2 linked regions of the Drosophila melanogaster genome follow. The protein of the gene in region 1 interacts with the protein of each later gene in a pairwise test. Each region holds a gene or a part of one and is shown in the gene's direction. Other genes may lie near its edges.

Region 1 (10,797 bases):
TAAGGTTTAAAAAATGACTAATTAGGTGAAATCAGAACTTAAAAATCGAATAAATAAATAAATCAGTGATTGCTTTGCAATGGAAAACAAAAGTATGGTAAATAATAACAATTATTAGAACCACTTAAAAGCCACATGTGGTGAAATCTTTGATCCATATTTTTCCAAGGGGATGTCGACCAGAACGTTACGGTTTAAAAGACTGGCGTTTCGAGGCGCTATGCAAGCCGAAAATAACCTCATTAAAGCGGAAAGAACACAACTTACTGCAGAGAGCCAAAACCGGTTTGGCTTAATATTCCTTTCGTTGAGATAAACGTTGCAAATAAACGAAATGCAGCATTGATACCAGCTTATCGGCTAATCCCAATCAGAATCTGGCTCACACTTTTGGTTCTGTCTAATCCTCCTCCGTAAGTCGTGGTTTCTTTTATGATATCGTCGCCTTAATGTCTGTTTTCAGGACCCCTAAAGATGAGAGATTACCAGAAAATGTTTTCTTAAATTTTAGCGCAACTAACTAAAAGTACTGATTCTAAAAATATTCCTGCTTACTAATTTAATTTCACAAATACGAACAACTTAAGATATAATAATATAATAGATATGGAAAGTTTGATGCACTATAAAAAAGGAACCATCGCGGTCTTCAAGCATAAAAATATCCCATGCAAATATAATTTAGTTATTTAGAATGACTAGTAATTATAAACTAAATTGACCCATTAGCTTATAAGCCAGGATAGTTTTTTTTACGCCAAATTATAAATAGCAACACCTAATTTAGTAAACGAAATGAATGCTTTAAATCTGCACAAAGCTATACTTAACTCACCAAAAATAGTTTCGTTAATATATTTGTATGAGATGACTGACTGCTGACTGAGAGCTCACCGTCGCAGTTGTAAGCCATGAGAATATCGTAGTTGAACATCTTTGACAAATTGTTTTTCAGCGGTTCTATTCGACCTTCTGGCCTCAGGATGCGGTGAATAATATGAGCCTGGAAAACAAAAAGATCAAGTTTGTAATACCCCAATAATCAGGCTTACGTTTTGTGCTATTGCCCGGCTTTGAAAGATTCGCATCCAGATTGGAAAGCTCGTCGGGATCATACACGGGAAAATAGTCCAGTTCCACCTTGCAAAAGTCATTTTGGTTTTTTAGGATCTTTTCAAGCTTATTTTTGCAGCTCCTCCATTGCATCTTTCAATATCTCGACGTCGTCGTCACTCGAATATTTGGGGCATTGGTGTGTGCTCATTGCTCGCCTGGGTAAATATACTTAATGTTTTGTCATCAAATGCAATATTTTGTCCATAGTTTGGTAAATGAACTGATTTTGTTTGTTTTTTTTTTCAAAAGTAGTATGTTTTGTTGATGATAGAGGTGTGCAAATGCCAACAACTTTTCATTTGGTATCGATATACCACTTGATTTAATACGAGTTCAAAACCTTTTAACAAGGAGCATACAACATATTTAAGATCGAAATCAGCTTCTAATAGGTAAGCTGCTTATATTAGCTAATGGAAAATTGGATAAATTAGCTTTTTGAAGCCTTTTAATAATGGTATAGAAATGTTATCAATTTAAAAATTAGTAAAACTGATTCGTGGCACCGCTAGATTTCTGAGTCCAGGGCTGCATGCCCAGATAAAGCCATATCGATCGACTAACGAGCGGTCACATTAAAAGTGCGTTTCTCGGCGCATTTGCAGGTATTGAGTGTGACTCCGTTTTGAAAATTTGTTTATCCAATTTAAAGCCGTGACCGGAACCCTGCTGAGGTGTTAAAGTTTAGTTTAAGTGTCCCCCCACCTGTGCAACGTGTTTTCGACATGTCTCCCGGGGGCTTGTCAGCGAAAAACTCGGTTGAAAATTCAATAGTGGCCGCTGTCTGGAGCGGCGGTCGTCGTCAATTACTGGGTCCCTTGGTTTACATAAGAGCGAAAGAGTCGGCTAGTGTGGCGTTGCAGAAATGGCGTCGAAGTATGTGCACATGGCTGGGTCTATTAAGGCTATATATCCCGTTTGCCCCGCAATGTGCAACTGGGAGTGCGTTATCCTTGCCGGGTATGTCACATATTGGACAAATTTCGCCAACAACGAATCGTACATTTCGCTTATTTCGGCGCAGTGTACGCCACTTTGTCCGGTTTTGCATTCCACTTTGTGCGCTTCATTCGGTTTCAATGCCCTCGCATTCAGTGTTGCCAAGTGCCGGAGCGTACCTAGTGATGTGTGCCATCCGAGTCCTGCCGTGAATTTGTGCGTTTGTGCAGATATTGTAGCTAACGCTGTTTGCCCTCTCTAGGACCTGCTACCTCGTTAACGAATCCAATCATTGTGCTCCGATTGTTGGTTAATTTAACGGCCTTGCCAAGTGCCGCTGCGCTTTGTTCGCACCTGGCAACACTGGTCAGCCCGCGCTGGTGCGGGTGCGAGGGAGATGCCGCTAGGACAGATGCAGAAAAGCGAGCACAAAAGCGAAAGCGAAAAACCGAAGCGAAGAGGCCAAGGAGTTTATAAATCAATTTTTGTGTATGTCAGTCACCGCGATTCCCATTGCAATTGGTATTGAGTAGTTTCCGGGTCTCGGATCGCAGTTCCCCAGTTCCCGTGGTCAAATTTCCATATCATGGTGTACGTGCGAAATGCGAAACCTGATGGAAAAGTGATGGCGACAGCGGTCTTTTGTTTGTGTGCGGCAGTACGCGCGTGTGTCTGTGTATGAATAATGCATGGAAAGGCGTTATTCACGGCAAACGTTGATAAAACTGTTTTGACAACAAAAATTGAGTGATTCAGATATGCACTTGGTATCGGGGTCGCCTCTCCCGCTCTCTTTCCCATGAACCACCCCCCCTGGAAATGCCAACTGACGTTTCGGCTTGGATGCGTCGTGGTCACGTACCCCGCCACCCCCTCGGCAATCATTCTGTTACCTGTTTTGCCAATACACTTTTCACCCCCCTCATTATTTTTGTTATTTCTGAATGCTCGCTTTGTTTGTGCGTACGATCTTCCCTTCCTCTCGCACTTCTTTGCTTCGGCGTGTGTCTGTTTGTTCACGTTCTTTCATTCTCTTTTATTAAATGTACATTGAACTCTCATCTTGCCAACTTTTCCTTTGCTGCTCTCTTTCGGCCACTTGTTTAGCCATTTTAACACATTCCCAGATAAAAGCTGTCTGGATTGTGGGAGTTTACCATTAATATTTCCACGCCGACGAATCAAGATTTAGATCTTAACCATTCATTATTCTCTATCCAACAAAAAATTTATGTAAATGCGCTGTAAATTCCAATTGAATTTCTGCTATATTATAGTTGAATATCAACTAACAGAAGCGAACCAGGCGGCTAACTTTCTAAATCAGCAACACCAAAAATCATTACTTATTACTCTCTACTTATTTGCATTGATCTTTAGATATTACTATTTTACTTATAGAACATTAAGTAAACCCAGAGAGTCCCATACTCAGAATCCAGTCAGCACAGACTTAAATTTTTATCAGTCAGTTTGTAGATTCCCTGGTTTTAAGATCGAATCCTTCATCTTTTTCGTATTGCAGCTAATTTGTATATACAGTGTACATAGAGATGAGCACACAAACTCGTTCAGGCGGCGGGGGAGGCGGCGGCCATGCCCGCAACCAGAAAAAGTCAAATGCCAGCAACTCCGGCGGAGGAGGAACCGGCCATCACGATGGAGTCTCACATGCTGCGGCCGCTGGCAAGAAGGGAGGCCAGGATGCCAGCAAGACAGACAAGCCAGAGAAGGCCCAGCCCAAGGCTACCACCGAACAGTTGCGCATTGCCCAGATCACCAATAGCACCACAGAGGATCCGCAGATCAACGAGAAGGTTCTCCTTCTTTTGACCATGACCCAACGTTCCGAGGAGGAGGTCTGCTGTGCCCTCAACGAGTGCGATTACGACCTGGAGGCCGCGGCCAACTTCTTGATCGAGGAGCTACCGCAGGTTAGTTTCGATTCTAATCTCCCGCGCTCCAGTTATTCAATTGAATCTGTTTTAGGGCGCCTTTGCCAAGTACGAGAAAAAGCGCAAGAACAAGGCTGCAAATAACACGGCTGATGGTGCTGCTGGCGATGGCGATTGGGCCGATGGCAATGGCAATGCGGACAGGCGGGAAAAGTCGCGAAACCGCAGCTCAAATCGCGGAGGCACCCGTGGCTCCAGTGACAGTCGTGGATGTAAGTATCATAAGCCACGCTCATTTACTAAAACGTTTCTTAGGGCATTACTAAACGTTTTGGATCTTTAAGCTCTGCATTACAGTTATTGTAAAACTGCTAAAAATAACGTTTCTTTTTATGTAGAACATATATAAAAATTAAGATCGTTAAATATTCCAATGCTGATTGACATTTAAGGTTCAGCATTTGTTGGTCATGCGCGAGCTGTAATTAGAGAAAATATTAAATTGATGAAATAATTTTAGTAAATGATATTTATCCTAATCCTCTGAACATAAATTAATATTTGATTTCTAATATTGTAGGGCGCGGAAGAGAGACTCGTGAGAATGAGCGCAACCAGCGCGAATCTCGCGAACCTTGGTCCGGGCAAAACGCTGGTCAGGACCGCGGTGACGATCGGGCAAATGACAACTACCGCGGGCAGCGCAACGGCGGCGGACGCAGTGGTCCCGGTGGCGGTGGACGCGGTGGTGGCTTTGTCTCTCGCTCTGGCCGTGGCGGCGGCCGCATGGGGGGACGCACCGGTGGACCGCGTGGCGATCGCGGCAGCGGAGGCCCTGGTGGTGCTTATGGATCAGGTCGCGGTGGCAATGCAAACGAGGATCACCACGAGGTTGAGCTGTGGGACAACACCATTGCCCAAAATGCCGAGAAGCAGCAACAGGCTCATGACGATGCCTGGGGCGACTGGAACAACGAGGAGTACGAGGGCTCGCTCAAGGACAGCAAGGTGTTCACCACTAGCAACCTGGCAACGCAATCCGCTGCCAACGTGGTTAGCGGAACTGGCGCGAGTGTTACAGCTGTTCCTGCGGCGGCTGGAACCGAGATATCGGCGCCACCGGGCCTTGAACATCAGTTGGTGCAGCAGGGATCTCATCTGGAGGAGAGCTCCAGCAGCGGCCCAGCGGCGGTCACACCGCCAGCAACGCTGAGCGGCTCGGCGACCACGCCGCTGCTGCAATACAGCGCAGCGGTCAGTAATCCACCGCCCCAGCTGCAGTCCCAGGGCACACAGTCAGGAGCGGGTACAGGAGCGAGCGCAGCTGCCGGCGGAGGAGCAGGCAGCACACCGTCATCCTTTGTATCCGCCTCTCCCGACACATTCTCAAGCGCCGCCTCGGCAGCTGCCACGCTGGTGCATCAAGCACAAAAGCAGCAGCAACTTCAGCAGCAGACGACGCCTATCAAGCCGTCGGCTACTTTGTCGGTCGAGCAATCTCAGTATTTCAACTCGTTGGCCAGCCAGGGCGTCAGCCCAGGTTCTGTTCCAGTGCAATCGGCGCCAGCGGGTTACGCGCAAAACCCCGTGGCCGCCTACTCCCAAACTAGCACTAGCGTGGGTGTGAGCCAGTACCCCAATACCTATGCCAACGTATTCGCTTCTGGAACGGCAGCTGGAGCTGGCACTGCCGAGCAATCGCAGCAGCAACCGCAGATACGGAGGGCACGTGTTAAGCTGCCACCACCCTCGAAGATTCCTGCGAGTGCCGTCGAAATGCCCGGAGACAATGCACTGAACAACATTGGCTACCTGGACGTGCAGTTCGGCGCTCTGGACTTCGGCACGGACGATGGCTTCGAGCCATTGCCGGAGAAGGTTGGTTCGGGCTTTAGCATTGATGGTCAGCAGCAGCAACAGCAGCCAGATGACTACCAGAGCAAGTCCCAGCAACAGCAGCAGGTGACGCTAGCGGCAGGTCTACAGAGTTCGCAGATTGTAAGTACCGTACTGTATCCTTTGAATCACCCAAGTAATCATCGTCACCATGATTTAGTTAATACGATAGTTTTTAGCATAGTGCATATATTACTGAGAATCTAATAGCATTCCTCATTTATAGAGCGATGCCTTAAATGCAGCGGGCTATACAAGCCGTTCGACGTCACAGCAGCAGCAGGGCGTTAGCTCAGCGGTGAATGCCACAATCGATCAGCTGACCAAGAGCGATCCCTACGGACAGACGGGCGGCAGTGGTAACGCCTACCAAAACGCGTACCAGAGCAGTGGAGCGAGTAAGACAGCCAGTGGCTTTCCGACGACCGCGCCCGGTGGCTACAGCAGCTCCACATACGCGAATGTGCAAAGCTCAGTAGCCAACAGTTACCAGCAGCAGGGATACGGCTCATACCAGCCCAGTTCCTACCAGCAGCAGGCTGGCAGCGGGGCTCAAAGCGGTACAGGTGCGGTAAGCGGAGGCGGAGGAACGGCGACGCAAAACATTCCGGTTGGAGGCAGCAGCAGCCAAAATAGCACGAGGTATGACATGATCCAGTATTGATTGTTTAATATTTAATTCCAAAGGGTACGTACCCTTGCAGAGATTCGTAGTTACATATTTCTTAAATTTAAAAATTATTTCTAAGCAACAAGTCGATTTGGCAAGGAACAACTAACTATACTCAGCAAGGGTACAAACCTTATCGAATATATCTTTTACTTCAAAGTTTAAATATTTGTGTGTATGCAAGTTTTGCTTAACAATTAGCCCCACCCGAAAGAGAGCTAATCTTCATTTTGTTTACTGTTTTTCTTCTCTCCTAACACATTTAATGCTCGCTTATGTCCCAAAAATCCCAAACCGCAATCGCGCTCCGCACCTAACAGCGGCAATGCGAGCTCTGCCTACCTCACATCCGGATATTCGACACCACAAAGTGCTTACCAGTCAAGCCAGAGTGTTTATGGCAACACTGGACTGTCCAACAGCAGCGGGTAAGTACCAAATGTGACGATCCCAATCCCAATACGATCAGTTCCCTGGGGATGACACGTACCTTATTTTGCTTGTTTGGACTGGTTCTGGTTCCATTATGCTTAATTGCGGCTTCTCGCCCGTTCGTTCAGGTTCTCTGGCAGTGCGAGCAACGCGTCCTCGCAGTACGCCAATTTCAGTGCCAGCGCCAAGCTAAAGGATGCGACCACGGCCAGTAGCGCCGCTCATTACGACAGGTAAGAGCGAAACCCCCGCTCTGCATGCCCCGCTTTTTCAAATATTCCGACTAACCCAACCCCCTGGTCATATCCCACTTAGAGGCGGATGCCTGTAGCACTTAATGTTGATCTTATTGACCTTTCAGTGTCTCAACCAGCAGCGGAGTGAGCAGCAACAGCGGAAGCACAGGCAATGGCGGTGTGGTGAGCGGTCAAACAGGTGCTAACCAGGCGGCTGTATCGAACAGTAAGTAATCGATGATTTAATATCAAACAGTTGAGGCCCTAAAGAGTATGCATTGCAGTCATTAAGCTTTCTGGTATAGAAATCCCATATCAAAAATATTTAAAAACAAACTCACAATGTCAAATCTACTTCAATCTAGCCACGGCTTTGACAATACAACTCTCCAAAATAAATATAATTTTTGATTCAAACTTTTTGTTTAGCTGAAATGCTCTATTTTTGGCCGAATTCTTAGTATTCGCATTTAAACTAAAACCTTTCCGTCCTCTCCAGATAACAGCGTGAGCGGCAGCAGCTCGGTCAGCAATGTGACGGCAGGCGTTGCGAGTGGCAACGTAGCTGGCGTGGGCGGAGGCGTAAGCCAGAGCGGCGTAAGTAGTGGAGTCGGCGTGCCCGGTGGCAGCGCGTCCAGCGTCGGTGTGAATGTGAACAACAACAGCAGCAGCGCCAGCTCGGTGGGAGCAGCGACCGTTGCCCAGACAGCCACGGGAACCACCGCTGCAGTGCTGGCCTCGCTGACCAACAAGAACACCAGCAGCAGCAATAGCAGCGGCAGCGGTGGCAGTGCTGCCACGACGACGGGCAACGCCAGCGGACAAGGTGCGGGAGCAAGCACCGGCGGCGTGGGCAGCTCGTCGGGTGCTGGTGGTGCTGGTAGTGGTGGTGGCAGCGGTAGCGGCTTGGTGCCCACCAACATCCAAATGGTTAGTCAATATATTCAGACTGGATTGCCATACTATCAGCAACCAGTGTATTCCTACGAGGAATTGCAAATGATGCAACAGAGAGTGCCACATGTGGTGAGTTCATGGAGAAAAGCAAAAGCAAATATCAAACCAACAACTACATAATGCAACCGACCAATCAACCGAACCGTTTCTAATCAAACAGTAATCGTATCAATATGCTCCCATTATACAACGTTTTCGCATTAGTCAAGACCTAGTTCCATTTAAAATTTAAACGCATACGACAACTGCTCAGCGCATCCCAGCTCGCCTCCCGCTGCTGATCGAAATCGTTAATCCGGATCCTGGCTCGTTGACGTTGCGGCCTCCCACTCCTAACCGTTTCTCAGCGTGCATTGTACATAATAACATACATATACCGCGATGTCTGTGATCAAGTCCTTATTATACCACCTCCTAAAAGTCTGTGTCTGTTTGAATATGTATGTGTGTGTGTGATTGTGTAAAAAGCTGACACTTTCCTTCGCCACCCTGCACCATCCGCTTCCGTTTTCATCCAGTTCCACATTCCTGGCATTATCACAAAAAAAAAAAGATAAACAATCCACATGTATTGCTTACCTCCCAGGCTCTGCTTTACACTCAAAATTAACCAAAAACTAATCCGAACGTTCTTCCTCGTTTCCATCTACAATGTAGTTGTGGAATTAGGGATGCAAAGCCAATTCAAATCGAAGAAATATAACCTTAAAATATAAATATATATATACTTGAATTACTTTGCATCCCTAACTACAACGAAATCTGTGCTCCTTACTGACCCATTTCATTCGATCACTAACATTTTACCCTTTTTTTTTTCTTCAACCTAACATCTGACTAATGTATAAATTTCTTACATTGAACATAACGTATTTCATTTTGTTGAAACTGGTACACGTGGTTTTGTCAGACCTTTATCACATATTTATTTTGTTTCGGTAAGAAGTTCTGACAAAGTGATCCGTTCATCATCTTCACAGCCATAACACGCCCAGAATGCTCGCGTGAAGACGAACCTAATGCTATAATTCTCAATTGCAGCAGGGATATTACGATCTGAACTATCCGCCGGCCAGTTTAGGAGCTGGACGTGACAACCTCGGCTCTGTGACGTATTCTGCTATGAATGATGGACGCTTTGCCCGCACTGACAATAACTCCAGTCCGGTCGGCAATGTATGTGCTCAGCTTAGATAGATAGATCGATAGATGGTAAAAATGTTTATTTTGCAGGTCTCCAGCACAATGTCGCAACAGGCTGGCTCAAGTGCGCCCATGCTAAATGTTCCTTACGCCTACTTCTATGGTGGCAATGTAATGCCCGGTAGTTTTCAATATGGCACGCCCGCCATATATCCAGTAAGCCTATTACATTCAAATCACTTTGTATGCAGTATCTAATCAACGTCTAAACTTATTCAATTTCAGCAAATACCGGCAGCAAACACTGCCTCCGGTCAACAGTTCCCGAAGCCTTCGTATAGCGCGGGCTACGGCTCGACCAGCTATGACACTCTGTCGCAGACCACGCAGGACTACAGCAAGGGCGGCTACTCGTCGAGCGTGAATCAGCAGAGCAAAACTCAGACTGTGTCCAACCAGTCGCAGGCAGGCACTGGATCCGATCTGACCTCTTCTATGTACGGAAAAGGACACGTGGCGCTGAACAAGGTTAATGTACGTATGGTTATAAGCAGGGCTGTGGATTTGGATGCAGGTCATCATAGCCTGAATTCGATGTTAAAAGACTTCAATTATCTTTGAGCAAAAAACAATACAACAATAAGATTTCACAGCCCTGGTTAAAACACCTTATCTCCCGACGTGTCTACATTGTACCATTGTATTTTTCGTTATTCAGTCGTACGAGAAGCAGAGTTTCCATTCGGGCACTCCGCCCCCGTTTAACATGCCCAACACTCAGACGGCTGGAGGCACCTCTGCCCAACCGTACGGCATGTACTTGCCGATGCCAGCGGCCGGACACCACAATATGATCCATCAGCCCATCCACCAGGTACATTCAGAATTACCACTTCAGGTTGTTGTAGGCGGAGGGACGGAAAGTCATGTTCTCATTCATGGGAATGTGAACGGTCCTCAAGTTACATACCACCGGATCTGGCAAACCGAACCTGTCCAGTGTCAGAATCAGCTCGTTGCCGCTCATTGCAATAACTTTGAACCTAATATCGACTGCTGTGTTCATGACAATAACAACGACTTGTCCTTCTTCGCCGACTGATGAAATGCTTAGGGAACTCATCTTGTTATTGTTAACACATCAATTTTATTTTCACCAATTGTGTAGCTGCACACCCGCCAATACATTGTACACTTGTTGACTGTGATTACATATAGGTTTATGTCCTTAAATAAGCTTATACCTACACTAATCCTGGATAATCACACTTACCAGTTTTTTTTTTGCCCTGTAGCTATGGAGTTGATTTGTTGAACCGCATGTATTTGTAAATTGTTTCCATTATCAACACTAACCGCCAAGCATATATTTGTAAGTCCTCTATTACCTATCTACGCACATCATCTGTAAAACAAACACCCAAAGTATTTTATGTGTGACAATCATTAAACCTTTTCTTTTTCACCTGGGATCGTTACTAACAAATAACATTTCATGCATTTTCTGATACTT
Region 2 (5,785 bases), 9.8 Mb from region 1:
ACTGAATCTCTAAAAGAGCAATTAACTTATAGATACCTTGGAAATGCACATAAAAATCCATTATAAATTACATTTCGAAGGAAAAGCGATTTGGCGCAAAAATCACATTAAGTTGGGCATTTATGTGTATTAAAATGAAACAATTAGGAATTATTAGGCTATTTTGTAGACTACAATTTAACTACTTTTTTGCCCTAGGTTATAGTTCTATGTTTTTTTTTTTAACATTAAGCCAACTCAATGTGCAGGGCCAGAAATGATGGCAAAAACCACATAATCTTTTTATTTGGACATCGCATTTCTGTTTGTTCAGCACAAAAGGCGGAAAATGCCACCACGAATATGGCATACACTGTAACAAAATAATTATTGTTATTTTATAATAAGAGTGGTTTCCACTTGGCGTATCGCGCAACGGAATGCAATCTGTTATTTGTTCCGTTTGAGTGCCCATTAACCTACTCGCAGTCGCATTTAAGTAATTTCAATCATGACAGGGATATATAAATATATATATATGTATATATATATATATATATCATACATCAATAATTAGCCTTCTGTACCTGTGAATATTGCTAACCAACATAATTATTTTCGATGCCGGCAGCAAGAAATTGAGGGCCAACGAAATAGATTTCGTTTTATTCCCACTATCGTTTTCTTGGCCAAACAAGTCTGTTAGCTGTTTGCCGTGCATATACTCGTATGTATTTCTCACCCATTAATTATGGGTAGTTTAGACTATTGCAATATTGTAGCAGTTTTGCTGAAGAGGAGCAAATATCAAAGCAAATATCAACATACATCATGATACATTCGTTGGTTTCCCAGCATTGTTAAAATTCCCACTTATTGTCTAGCAATTCCACACACGACACAGTTAAATCTAGATAAATTATTAAATTATAGTATGCAGTACATAATATTAAATAAATCAATTGGAAAATGTGCAAGTATTGCAGGTGCTGAATTATTATATTAATTAATTGAGTGACGAGGTATTTATATGTCGCTTTTTTTTTTTGGTTCATCAACTTGTTATGCATTCCACATGTACACCTAGCATGCTGAAGAAAGGGAGGCGCGGCATTAGGGGCGGATCAGATAAATTAGGTCCATTCAGATCACATAATATAAGAGAAAAGTTGCTTATTTGCCAATTTTGCAATGTTCTCGCGAGAAATGGCTAATAATAATAAGAGGCGATGCCGGGGAATCGTTTCGATTTCTAACCAAAATTAAATAAAAATCATTAATGACTTTCTTCACTTTTGCAATTTTCACATAGGTGGCGATGGTGGAGGTGCAACTGGATCACGATACGAATGTACCACCGGGCATGCTGATAGCCTTCGCCATCTGCACCACCCTCCTGGTGGCGGTGCACATGCTGGCCCTGATGATCAGCACCTGTATCCTGCCAAATATTGAGACGGTGTGTAATTTGCATAGTATTTCCCTGGTCCACGAATCGCCACACGAGCGTCTCCATTGGTACATTGAAACGGCGTGGGCATTCTCCACGCTGCTGGGACTCATACTCTTTCTACTGGAGATAGCCATCCTGTGCTGGGTGAAATTCTATGACCTAAGTCCGCCGGCGGCTTGGTCAGCGTGTGTGGTCCTCATACCGGTGATGATCATCTTTATGGCCTTCGCCATTCACTTCTATCGCTCCCTGGTGTCGCACAAATATGAGGTGACAGTCTCGGGCATCCGTGAGCTGGAGATGCTCAAGGAGCAGATGGAGCAGGATCATTTGGAGCATCACAATAACATACGAAATAATGGCATGAACTATGGCGCATCCGGGGACATTGTCTAGCATCACTTGGCGTATCCGCACAAGTGGATCGAACGAAAAAGACAGCGGCTCAGGGTAAGCTTCAGATTATTTTTAGTGAAACACACATATTGTAAATTTGTAGTTGATTAAAATTGTGATACGCGGAATTCAGTAGATTTCTACTATATATATATATATATGTGCGAGTGCTGCTGTAGTCCTTTATTTTACTTATGGCAATTGCGGATTAGCACGGATATTGACAATGATAAAAGACCCCAATTAAAGCAATACTTCGGATGAATATTCCTCAAAAAATTAGCTGATATTTGTTACATATTTATATTGCGTGTATTTTAAATTGTATGCCATGCCGGATTTTCTTTTTTTGCAACCATCCTTAGGCAGTCTTCCCTTTTTACGTTTAAGACACAACTTGATTGTCAAATTTAATATTAAGCCAATTGTGTAAGCGAAACCGCGCTGTAATTTATACCATATAATTTATGATTAAAAGAATTTTCTATATATATGGTGTTGGAGTTTTATTTTTAATCGTGATATATAGCTGAACAATAGATGCGGATTAAAAGAATGCAAAATTTTAGAGACAATTTGATATATTTTATATGCAACATAAAACAATTGTAAAATAAAGTATTTGAAAATGTACTGCAATATTTATATACGAATTATATTCATAGGTATTCCAATAGTTTTGGAAAATATAACAGTCTATTTTCGATCTTTACCGATGTAAGCTAAATAGCGCTGTAATTTATATACGACTGATTAAACGATTTTTACTACATACACTTAACCGGAACAAACGATTTTCTATTGAGCCAATGTCTTTGGCCTCCTTAAGTTAGCGTGTCGCTGCTGGAGGAAGCCAAATGGTGGCAAGACATGCTGCTGCTGGCTGGGGGGGTTCGATTAGACAAGTGACACCACCGCACGCACACCGCCGCCTAAAGTCGGACGACACCACATGGCACCGCCGCAATTGGACGGACTTGCTCCCGCGCTCAGTCATCGAAGACATGTCGTCGCGTACGAGCGGATATAGTAGTGGAGTTCGCTCTCAACGTTATCCTGGTGGGCAGTACCAGGGCAAATGGTTGGGCCAGCAGCCTCACGGGTTTGGGGTAAAGCAAACGAGCAGTGGACTTGTCTACGAGGGTCACTGGCAGAAGGGTCAACGGCATGGCATCGGAAGTTTGCGTCGCAAGGAGCTCGATGGCCGCATGGAACGCATCTACGTGGGTCAGTGGCGGGAGAACAAGCGGAGTGGCGAGGGCAAGCAGTTCTATCCGGACGGATCCGTCTACTTTGGTCAGTGGCTAGCGGACCAGCGAAGTGGAGAGGGCATCCTATGGCAGGCGGATGGCGGCATCTATGTGGGCGAGTGGCTTCGGGACAAGATGCACGAAAAGGGTTTACTTTTCACGGGTGAGTGTGATAAAGAAATAAGATATGTTCCTTTGGATGTATTTGTTTCATTTTATTTATTTTTTCGCAACTTTAAAAATGCATAAAGATTATAGATAATAAGTTAATATGTTATCCATAGCAACGGGAAATCGCTACGTGGGTCAATTTGAAGGAGGCTGCAAATCGGGCTCAGGTGTATTTTACCATGCCAGCAATGGACAGCGGATTCAGCACGGTTTTTGGAGCAAGGACATCTGTAGAACGTCACTACTGTCCCTGCCACAAGATAAAAACAATGAATTTATGTCAAAAGCTCTTTTGTAACACTTACACACAATATATATATATATTTAAATACCAAGACATTTTCGATAAGAATAAATACGAACTAAGGAGACTACTATCTAATCAGTGCCGATGCCGTGTGCGTGTGCTAATGGACTCCGTTTCGGGAGCCTGTGCTTCCAAAACCTGGCGCCTCGTTCGCTTGGATGAAAGAGTCGCTGTCTTTGGTGTCTCTACTGGTTGGCGCAGCCTGGCTCTGGTGCTCCGTGTACTTGTAGTTATTGTCGGCGTTTCTACTATTTCCAAGCTATTATCCAATGTTAGGACTTTACAAGCTTTGGATGTGGCCTTGGGTTTTGCCTTCTCCCTACTTTTTGGTTGTGTCTTCTTTGTGGACACCAAAGGTGAATCGTCATCGTCGCTTATCTCGATCGCTTGGCAGGCATTTAGATCCACGTGATCCGAAGGCGGTGTATTCTCTGTTCCGCTGCCACCGCTGCTACTGCAACTGGTAGCACTTGGTGGTCGTAGTTCCAGCTCCTCGTAAATTCTGAATCGAGGTGCCTTTTTGGCCGACTGTTTAACTTTAGACGCCGTATTCTTGACTGCTGAAACCGATCCTATTGCGGTTCGTTTCTTATCTTCGGGTGAGTGATTGAATACCAAAGCACGTCGAAGGATTTTGACCTGTGGCTTATCCTGACCCACGGGTTTGAGTTCTAACTGAGCCGTCTTTAGCTGAGCCAAAAAATTGTACTCGAAGTTAATGTCGACCGCGCGTGATCGCATTTTAAGGCCCAATTGAGCCGTTGATATAGCCTCTACATGCTTTCGCGCAAAGCGAAGATAGTTCAGATGATACAGCTGCTGGGCATGCAACATGGGATACAAAGCGCTACTCATCGGAGGTTTTTCCTGCATCCAACTATGCGCTCTTCCATAGAATTCGTCCAATTGTTCGCTGTTTCTCTGCAGAAAGCGGAGACGTGCATGTAGACAGCCCGTTACAAAGTACAAGCATTGCAGCTGGGAATTCTCTCGAAGATTCGCTGGCGCCACATCGAGTGTTATGTAGCGATCCAAGTCCAGTTGGGGATTTGGGCTATGTGGTCGCATTTTGAGCAGATTCGGCGAGGCCATATTTAATAGCTGCTGCTTTCTGATCGGCTCCACCAACTGGAGGAGATGCATATTACTAGCCAGATCTCTAATTGCTACATCCTTAATCGCTTCCTTTTCCGGCCTACTCGTTGGATTCAGCTGTTTTATACCTAAACAATGCTCGATGAGTCTCAACTTCGATTGCGCCTTGTCGAAACTTTCCATTTGCAAATTGGTCCATAACCATGCAAGGAATACCTCTATGGCTCTTAAAGCCAAGCCAGATTGGAGTACCAAATGTAGTGCAATGTTGGAGAAGGACAGTCTTTCGCTTAATCTGTTCGCAGAGCACTCGGTGCTTTCCCTGACAAGAGTCGAAAGAAGCAGCTGCAATGAGCCGCCATCTAAACTGGATAGATTGCAAAAACTTCGCACATTGTCCAGAAGAATGTCCAATTGACGCAGAGGAGTCGGCAGCCTGCAATTCGTTGGCTTCCTTTGCTGATACCCAATTCGAAAGCGCACCGTTTGCAGTGTAAGCAATACAATATCACTTTTTCCTTGTCTCTCAGGAAACTCTTCGCGAAGTTGTTCCACATGCAATAGAAGCAACTGGGCATGACTATAGCATTCCATTCTGGCATAGTAACTGGCGAGGTGACAAAAACAGAGCATTACCGTAGTTTGCTGACGCTTGAAGAATTTGCCATTTTTCAATTGAGGCCACAAATCATCCAGCAATTCCTCTGCTACTTCCACTTCCTCGCCGAGTTTCAGATTTAAACGAGAACTAACCTCATTCTGTGACAGAAAATGATTTAGGGCACGCAGATAGGTAAAACGATCTTCCAGCAAGCGACCCATCCTCAGAAGCAACAGCCAGGCATCATCCTCTTCTGACTGATACCCCATACTTGAAAGTGCATTGGCAGTAGCGATGGCATCGTCAATCAATGCCTCCCAATCAATAGACGTTTCATTTGCGCTCAATGGCTCTTGATCTGCTCGATCGAAGAAGTTGCTGAAGGCCGAGATGGCTTCACTAGCATAGTTGACCAATCGCTGCTCCCTTTGTATGTTCATCTGCCATAAATTCTTGCTGAGTAGCAGCTCCTCGAACATATTTTCCGTTATCTCCTTGGTGGAAACTTTGGTTTTTTGAGCCTCCAGTGCGTC

What was found.
Region 2: the proteins of lig (region 1) and CG14490 interact in a two-hybrid assay, tested with the Drosophila melanogaster proteins (one large-scale study listed by BioGRID).

The regions. Positions count from the first base shown.
Region 1 is NT_033778.4:8,066,291-8,077,087, forward strand, and holds lig (lingerer), read left to right. Parts: upstream 1-3,538; 5' UTR 3,539-3,608; coding exon 3,609-3,989; intron 3,990-4,044; coding exon 4,045-4,222; intron 4,223-4,530; coding exon 4,531-5,948; intron 5,949-6,072; coding exon 6,073-6,488; intron 6,489-6,836; coding exon 6,837-6,944; intron 6,945-7,076; coding exon 7,077-7,181; intron 7,182-7,309; coding exon 7,310-7,410; intron 7,411-7,683; coding exon 7,684-8,210; intron 8,211-9,121; coding exon of another isoform or gene 9,122-9,127; exon of another isoform or gene 9,128-9,182; coding exon 9,183-9,317; intron 9,318-9,374; coding exon 9,375-9,500; intron 9,501-9,569; coding exon 9,570-9,818; intron 9,819-10,002; coding exon 10,003-10,386; 3' UTR 10,387-10,752; downstream 10,753-10,797. Other genes in the region: CG17977 (uncharacterized protein), read right to left, coding at 460-468, 836-1,003, 1,053-1,154. UniProt on the Drosophila melanogaster protein: Acts in the nervous system to mediate the control of copulatory organs during courtship.
Region 2 is NT_033778.4:17,857,967-17,863,751, forward strand, and holds CG14490 (uncharacterized protein), read left to right. Parts: upstream 1-2,793; 5' UTR 2,794-2,832; coding exon 2,833-3,241; intron 3,242-3,306; exon of another isoform or gene 3,307-3,362; coding exon 3,363-3,547; 3' UTR 3,548-3,625; downstream 3,626-5,785. Other genes in the region: orai, read left to right, coding at 1,292-1,828; thr (three rows), read right to left, coding at 3,632-5,785.